Arabidopsis thaliana: one gene and its partner. The protein of the gene in region 1 purifies or fractionates together with the protein of each later gene. This does not show direct contact. Each region holds a gene or a part of one and is shown in the gene's direction. Other genes may lie near its edges.

What was found. Proteins that work in one complex are often made in the same cells at the same time.
Region 2: the proteins of TIP1 (region 1) and CESA1 purify together in Arabidopsis thaliana (affinity purification with western blotting, with the first as the bait; one study listed by BioGRID). This does not show direct contact.

What each region holds. Positions count from the first base shown.
Region 1 is NC_003076.8:6,874,706-6,878,459, forward strand, and holds the start of TIP1 (Ankyrin repeat family protein with DHHC zinc finger domain-containing protein), read left to right. Parts: upstream 1-1,735; 5' UTR 1,736-2,066; coding exon 2,067-2,324; intron 2,325-2,428; coding exon 2,429-2,569; intron 2,570-2,690; coding exon 2,691-2,803; intron 2,804-3,298; coding exon 3,299-3,378; intron 3,379-3,479; coding exon 3,480-3,643; intron 3,644-3,754. Other genes in the region: BG5 (beta-1,3-glucanase 5), read left to right, coding at 82-1,146.
Region 2 is NC_003075.7:15,645,099-15,648,852, reverse strand, and holds the start of CESA1 (cellulose synthase 1), read left to right. Parts: upstream 1-2,008; 5' UTR 2,009-2,464; coding exon 2,465-2,545; intron 2,546-3,072; coding exon 3,073-3,268; intron 3,269-3,366; coding exon 3,367-3,539; intron 3,540-3,754. Other genes in the region: AT4G32420 (Cyclophilin-like peptidyl-prolyl cis-trans isomerase family protein), read left to right, coding at 1-719, 806-874, 1,000-1,303. UniProt on the Arabidopsis thaliana protein: Catalytic subunit of cellulose synthase terminal complexes ('rosettes'), required for beta-1,4-glucan microfibril crystallization, a major mechanism of the cell wall formation. Involved in the primary cell wall formation.

The sequences.
Region 1 (3,754 bases):
TGGTTCTCTTCTTCTTCTTCATAGAAGTACGATCTTAGGATATCTCTATATACACACATTTTGCAGAAAAAAAGTTTCATCATGCTCTATTTGCCTAAGAAACTCTTCTTGTTCTTCTTCTCGTGCATTGTGGTGATTGTCAACTACAACAATAGTGACTTCGTAAACGCAGCAAATAGCATTGGCTTCGTAAACGCAGCAAATAGCATTGGCTTGAACTACGGTCTCCTCGGAGATAACCTCCCATCTCCGTCAAAAGTTATAACCCTTTACAAGTCCATAGACATCACTAAAATCCGAATCTTCGACCCAAACACTGAGGTTCTTAACGCTTTACGTGGCCATCGTGATATTGCGGTCACAGTAGGAGTTAGGGACCAGGACTTGGCTGCTCTTTCAGCTAGCGAAGAAGCTGTTAAGGGCTGGTTTGCGACCAACATCGAGCCTTACTTATCCGACATCAACATCGCGTTCATTACTGTTGGTAACGAAGTCATCCCCGGACCAATCGGTCCTCAAGTGCTTCCAGTCATGCAGTCTCTCACCAACCTCGTCAAGTCAAGGAATCTTCCTATCTCGATAAGCACGGTGGTGGCTATGTGGAACCTCGAGCAATCATACCCACCTTCCGCAGGAATGTTCACGTCTCAAGCGCGTGAACAACTTGTCCCCGTGCTGAAACTATTATCCCAAACAAATTCGCCTATCCTCGTAAAAATCTACCCTTACTTCTCCTATGCGTCCGACCCATCTAGCATCCGTTTGGACTATGCCACCTTCAACACTGAGGCCATCGTGGTACAAGATGGATCACTGGGCTATTCAAACATGTTTGATGCAATCTTTGATGCGTTCGTGTGGGCAATGGAGAAGGAAGGCGTTAAAGATTTACCAATGGTGGTGTCCGAGACCGGATGGCCATCTGCCGGGAATGGAAACATTACCACGCCGGATATCGCGGGTACCTATAACAGAAATTTCGTGAAGCATATAGCAAGCGGAAAAGGTACACCTAAAAGGCCTAACAAAGGCATCGACGGGTTTTTGTTTGCAACTTTCAATGAAAATCAAAAGCCGGTCGGGACTGAACAAAACTTTGGGTTATACAATCCGAATGATATGAAGCCCATCTACAATCTATTCTAATATGTGTGAAAGTTGCTTAGACTTTCCCGATTCATCAATAATTATGTTACACTAGTTGTTAGTGAATTAAAGTAAAACTAACAGTGATATATACACATACTATAAGCAACTGAGATGATGAGATCTCGTCGCGGAACTTAGTTGACTTTTGTAAAATTATTATTATTTAAAAGCAATTTCTCTGGTTTAGTAAACGTACTATGTTTCTTCATATATTTTTTTTTCTTCTAAAATCATTCCATTATGTTTCTTCATCTATTAATACAAGAGTATGCATTTTCAAAATAATACTTTTTTTATATATATATGCAAACCAGTGTTTTTTTTATCAAAATAAGAAATCACTGTCCCAAAATGATTCAATAGTTCAAGGTTTTATAAAAGATTTCTTAACATTTATAATATAACTCTTTTTGTCAAGATATGAAAAATGAAAAAGTATCTCTTATGATTAAGACAGATGTTTTGATTCGTTCATATTCCATTGAACTATATATATATCACTCAACTAGCCAGGTATAATATTTCCCATTACATACAAAAAAAAATGATCATGAAATTAATCAATTTATAAATGTTGGTTTTTTTTTTTTTGGTTAACACTAAAACCAAAAAATAAAATAATGTTGGGTTTTGTTTGACAAAAAAAAGTTAATGAAATGAATGAACGATAAGAATTGAGAGCAAGTCTGTCTCTGACCCGTCTTAATCCGATTCTTAGTCAATTTTTTGAGTTCGTCAATCATATTCTTCTTCTTCTTCTTCCTCTGATTCCCCCAGAAAAAACCTAGCTCCTTCCCTCATTTCCCCCCAAATCTCACGACTTATTTATGCTCGGGGGAGACTAATCAAAGGTCAAAATCCATTAGGGAGGGAATCGAATCTCGATCGATCTCAATTTCTTCTGAGAAAAGAAAAAAATGTCATCGGAGATTGAGGTGGTGGAAGAAATCCAATCGAATCCCAAGGAGAATGGGGAATCGAGTTCTAAAGGGATTGAAGAAGAGAGCTTGAAGAACGATGTCTATACTGCTGCCGCTTATGGTGATTTGGAGAAGCTTCATAGATTGGTTGAGTGTGAGGGTTCCTCTGTTTCCGAGCCTGATGCTCTTGGCTACTATGCTCTTCAGTGGTCTGCCTTGAACAACCGCGTCGCCGTTGCCCAGTACCTTATCGAGGTTTTGTGTCATTTTACGAATTGTTTGTTGATTGCTAAATTAGATTTGAACTAGTGGTTTTCAAGTTTCTAAAACTGATCCTTCTCGATTTCTGGTTTTTCCAGCATGGTGGAGATGTAAACGCGACGGATCATACTGGACAGACTGCATTGCATTGGAGTGCTGTTCGTGGTGCGATACAAGTTGCAGAACTGTTATTACAAGAGGGTGCAAGAGTAGATGCAACGGATATGTATGGCTATCAGGTTCATATCTCTTCTTTAACTACGCGTCCATGTTCTCTGCTGACTTCTATCAAATTTCCCTTCTTTTCTTGTTTAGTTCTCAATGGGTGTATGTTAATACTTAATTTTGAACTGCTTGTAGGCAACACATGTTGCCGCACAGTATGGCCAGACTGCTTTTCTTTGTCACGTTGTCTCAAAGTGGAATGCTGATCCTGACGTGCCTGATAATGATGGAAGAAGCCCCTTGCATTGGTATGCTTGCTGCAAAGCTTGCCTTCGTGAAATTGTTACTTAGTAATTGGTTTTTGGCTTCTTTTTATTTTTTCTTACAATTGTTTAGCCTTGCACGCTTATTTGGAGACTGGATAATTGGTTTTATTTGTTCCCTTTTCTTATTATTCCTATAGATTTAATATCTCTTCGTTCAATTTTGTTCTAGTTGCCAAGTATACTGGGTGGATTAGAATTAATTTTTGTCAACTATTTGCCTATGATAGTTCTCGAGTTTTTGTTATGAAGATTTGTGAATACGTATTACTGTTTTCCATCTAGAGACTAAGGTTACATAGGTTATTTTCTCTCCCGTTTTTCTTACTGAGACTTCGTTACCGTTACATGGATTATTCTACTGCATGATTTTTAGCTTTCTTATGTTGACCTTTTGATTTTATCCTATTTTTACAGTATCTTTTCAGAAGACAGTTCTAATTTCGTCTTTATATTCTTCTCATAATTTGAGAAATTCAGGGCTGCATATAAAGGTTTTGCAGATTCCATTCGCCTACTTTTATTTCTAGATGCATATAGAGGACGACAAGACAAAGAAGGTGGTTACAAACATATTTTTTTTTTAAATCTTCTTTGTTTATTTTCTTAGATTAACTATACGTTTCTAACATCTTCTCCGTTATATTGATTCTGTTATCAGGTTGCACTCCTCTGCATTGGGCTGCCATCCGAGGTAATTTGGAGGCTTGCACTGTCTTGGTGCAGGCTGGAAAGAAAGAGGATTTGATGATTACTGACAAGACTGGGCTAACCCCTGCGCAACTTGCTGCTGAAAAGAATCACAGACAAGTTTCTTTTTTCCTTGTAGGTATCTGTTTTACTTGTTTGTTGTGTAGCAATATGTATTCATACTGTTTGATTTGATGCTTTCGTAGTGGCTGTACTGCTTGCAATAATTAGTAGTTGAATCATTTT
Region 2 (3,754 bases), on another chromosome or scaffold:
AGTCCACTGAGGAGCCCCAAAAGGGTCATCAGCAGAAGTCCAGTGAGAGGTAGGATTGCCAGAAGCCCTAGCCGGAGTCCTGTAAGATCTGCATCTCGTGGAAGCCTTGGGAGGGGCCCACTAAGAAGATCGTCAAGAAGATCACCTAGCAGAAGTCCAGTTCGATCTTCTAGAAGAAGCCTGAGCCGGAGTCCTATTCAATTATCTAGAAGAAGTCTGAGCCGGAGTCCCACTCGATTGTCTAGGAGAAGCCTAAGCCGGAGTCCCATTCGATCACCTAGGAAGAGTGTGAGCAGGAGTCCAGTCCGATCATCTAGGAAGAGTGTGAGCAGAAGTCCGGTTCGTTCATCCAGGAGACGTATCAGCAGGAGTCCAGTCCGATCATCTAGGAAGAGTGTGAGCAGGAGTCCTATTCGATTGTCCAGAAGAAGTATCAGCAGGAGTCCTATTCGATTGTCCAGGAGAAGTATCAGCAGGAGTCCTGTTAGAGGAAGAAGAAGAATTAGCAGAAGTCCAGTTCCGGCAAGGAGAAGGAGTGTGCGGCCTAGATCTCCTCCTCCTGACCGCAGAAGAAGTTTGTCAAGAAGTGCTTCTCCTAATGGGCGCATAAGGAGAGGGAGAGGATTTAGCCAAAGATTCTCATACGCCCGTCGATACAGAACTAGTCCATCTCCTGATCGATCTCCTTATCGCTTTAGTGATAGGAGTGACCGTGACAGGTGAATAGCCCACACATAATATAACTCCCCCTTTCTGTTACACACTCTCGTACTGAACCGTCTTTTTTATAACGTCTTCTCTGTAGATTTAGAAGTCGCAGAAGGTTCTCGCCAAGTCGGTTCAGAAGCCCACTAAGAGGAAGAACACCTCCAAGGTACTTATCCTCTTTAGTACATTGTTTCAGCTGATTCTTTACATCTAAAAGTTTCATGAATATGGAACTAAAATTGGTGATCCAAAAGAATTATTCTTGATTTCACAACTCGAAAGTATGCTCAGGTATAGAAGAAGAAGCCGCTCAGTATCGCCTGGTCTCTGTTATCGCAACCGGCGGTACAGCCGCAGCCCTATCCGTAGCCGATCTCCACCTTACAGAAAGAGAAGGTCACCATCCGCTAGCCACAGCCTGAGTCCATCGAGGTCAAGATCAAGATCAAAGTCATATTCAAAATCTCCCATTGGGACGGGGAAAGCAAGATCAGTGTCAAGATCACCATCCAAGGCAAGGTCTCCATCGAAGTCGGATTCGACATCCTCGGATAATAGCCCAGGTGGGAAAAAGGGATTAGTAGCCTATGATTAATGAATAATGATTACCCTTAAGTTAAGTGTTTGTTCTTTTTACTGAGAAGAGATGGTAAAGAGAGTAAGTAGTTTACTTCTGTAAAACATAAGCATTGTCTTTTGCGTATGTTTGTTTGATTATGCTCCAAGATTGTTAAAAATTTCTGTTGATGTTTGCCGACATTTTTTCTTTGTTGCCATTTGCCGACAAATGTTAACTTCCATTATTCGTTGCGGAGTTGGTTTTGGTCCAATAATTAAACTTTCATAAAATTAAGCATAACTAAATGTGACGTTTGTCACCAAACTTTAGAACAACGACATCGTAATTTATTTATTTGGATAATCAATATAATTTACGATTTCTTCCTACATATATATCATATCACTATACCACCGTCATTATCACTATCACTAAATATAAAAATGTTAAAATGATTTCTTAATGGAATTTTTTTTGTTAAAAGTTTATTGACACAAAAAATGAATTAAAACTCAGAAATCTGTATACTGAATTAAAACTTGTAAATATAACAACAAAATGGGATTAAAAAAAGAAGTGGCATCCATTTAAAAATTATTTGCGAATTCGCCCGTAACTTCTTAAGCTAACAATTAGAACCTAATCAACACTAGTTATTTTGAGTCCACCGACAGGTGATAGCAAATAAAAAAGAACAGGCTGGTACCAGAGCCAACAACAACGTGGCTTCTTCTTTTTTTTTTTTAATATAATCAAACAATCATACTTTGTCCTATCTCTTTCTTGCAATAAGATTTTGCCACGTCACATACTAAGAAGCTGGCGCGTCTAGTGGGGAAGCCAGAACGGCTCACTTTAAAAAGTAGAGAGATGATAACTTGAGCCGAATAGAGCCGAGCTGAGCTAAAACGGTGGGAGAGGAAGAGGCTACTACTACCGTCACCATCTCCGGTAAAATAATGTACTTGTCATTTAAAAATTAAGAAAAAACACATCACTCTGCGATAAAATAGGCAAAAGCAGATTTGAAGAAGAAGCAGCTTGAGATATCAAATAGAGAGAGAGAGTGACAGAGGAGTGTGTGAACATCCTTTTTTAGTAGATTTGGGTTTTCGAGATGCCGTATTGAATCGGCTACGAATTTCCCAATTTTGAATTTTGTGAATCTCTCTCTTTCTCTGTGTGTCGGTGGCTGCGATGGAGGCCAGTGCCGGCTTGGTTGCTGGATCCTACCGGAGAAACGAGCTCGTTCGGATCCGACATGAATCTGATGGCGGGGTCTGTTCATCTTCCCTTTTTCCCATTTTTTTGTTATTGTTTTTCGTTCTTACAATTTTTGATGTGTAGATCTCATCTAGATTTCTCTGTTTCTAAATCTCGTCTCTTTTGGATCCATAATTGGATCATTGAAACTCAGATTTCGCTTCCTTTGACTGTGTAGTTAGTTAGTGTCAGTTGATCAAGTAAGTGTCTGAAAATGGAAACTTTTCTGCTCCAATTCTTCAAATTGTTGTGATCTATATCAATTAATGCCGCATCTGTTTTCTTAAAATCTCTTATGGAAAGTGTCGGTGGATTTCAGTTCGTTAACTTTTTTAAGCTAAAATCTTTGACTCTTAAAGTTTAGCTTTACTTATTGAGATTTAGCTCAACTAGATCTCGTTAGTTCCCGCCATGGGATACAGACTGTGACTCGCCTTAATTCAGATCTGCATTGATTGTTTTGATTTAGATCCTTGCTCATCTCTTTCTGTAGTTTCTAATACTCAATGACTAACAATGATGCAATGTTGGTCAAAGTGCAGACCAAACCTTTGAAGAATATGAATGGCCAGATATGTCAGATCTGTGGTGATGATGTTGGACTCGCTGAAACTGGAGATGTCTTTGTCGCGTGTAATGAATGTGCCTTCCCTGTGTGTCGGCCTTGCTATGAGTACGAGAGGAAAGATGGAACTCAGTGTTGCCCTCAATGCAAGACTAGATTCAGACGACACAGGGGTCAGTTGTCTTTTTCTTTTTGTTGGCAATTGCTATATATGGATTTTCTCTTTTTGTTTCTTTGCTGTTGTGTTGAACAATTTTTTGGAATTTTCCAGGGAGTCCTCGTGTTGAAGGAGATGAAGATGAGGATGATGTTGATGATATCGAGAATGAGTTCAATTACGCCCAGGGAGCTAACAAGGCGAGACACCAACGCCATGGCGAAGAGTTTTCTTCTTCCTCTAGACATGAATCTCAACCAATTCCTCTTCTCACCCATGGCCATACGGTAGGGACCTACATTTTCCCTTTAGACTCTAGAGTGATTTGTATTACTCAATAAATCCCTAGAGTGGTCATTTATTACTTACTATTCACGTTAATGTTATATGTGAACAAATCTTAACAGAATTTTTTTCTGATAGTACATGGTCATCCAAATTAAGAAATAATAATAGATGTTGTTAGTTGTGTCTGTTTTCAATAGATTCATGACCTTTTTCT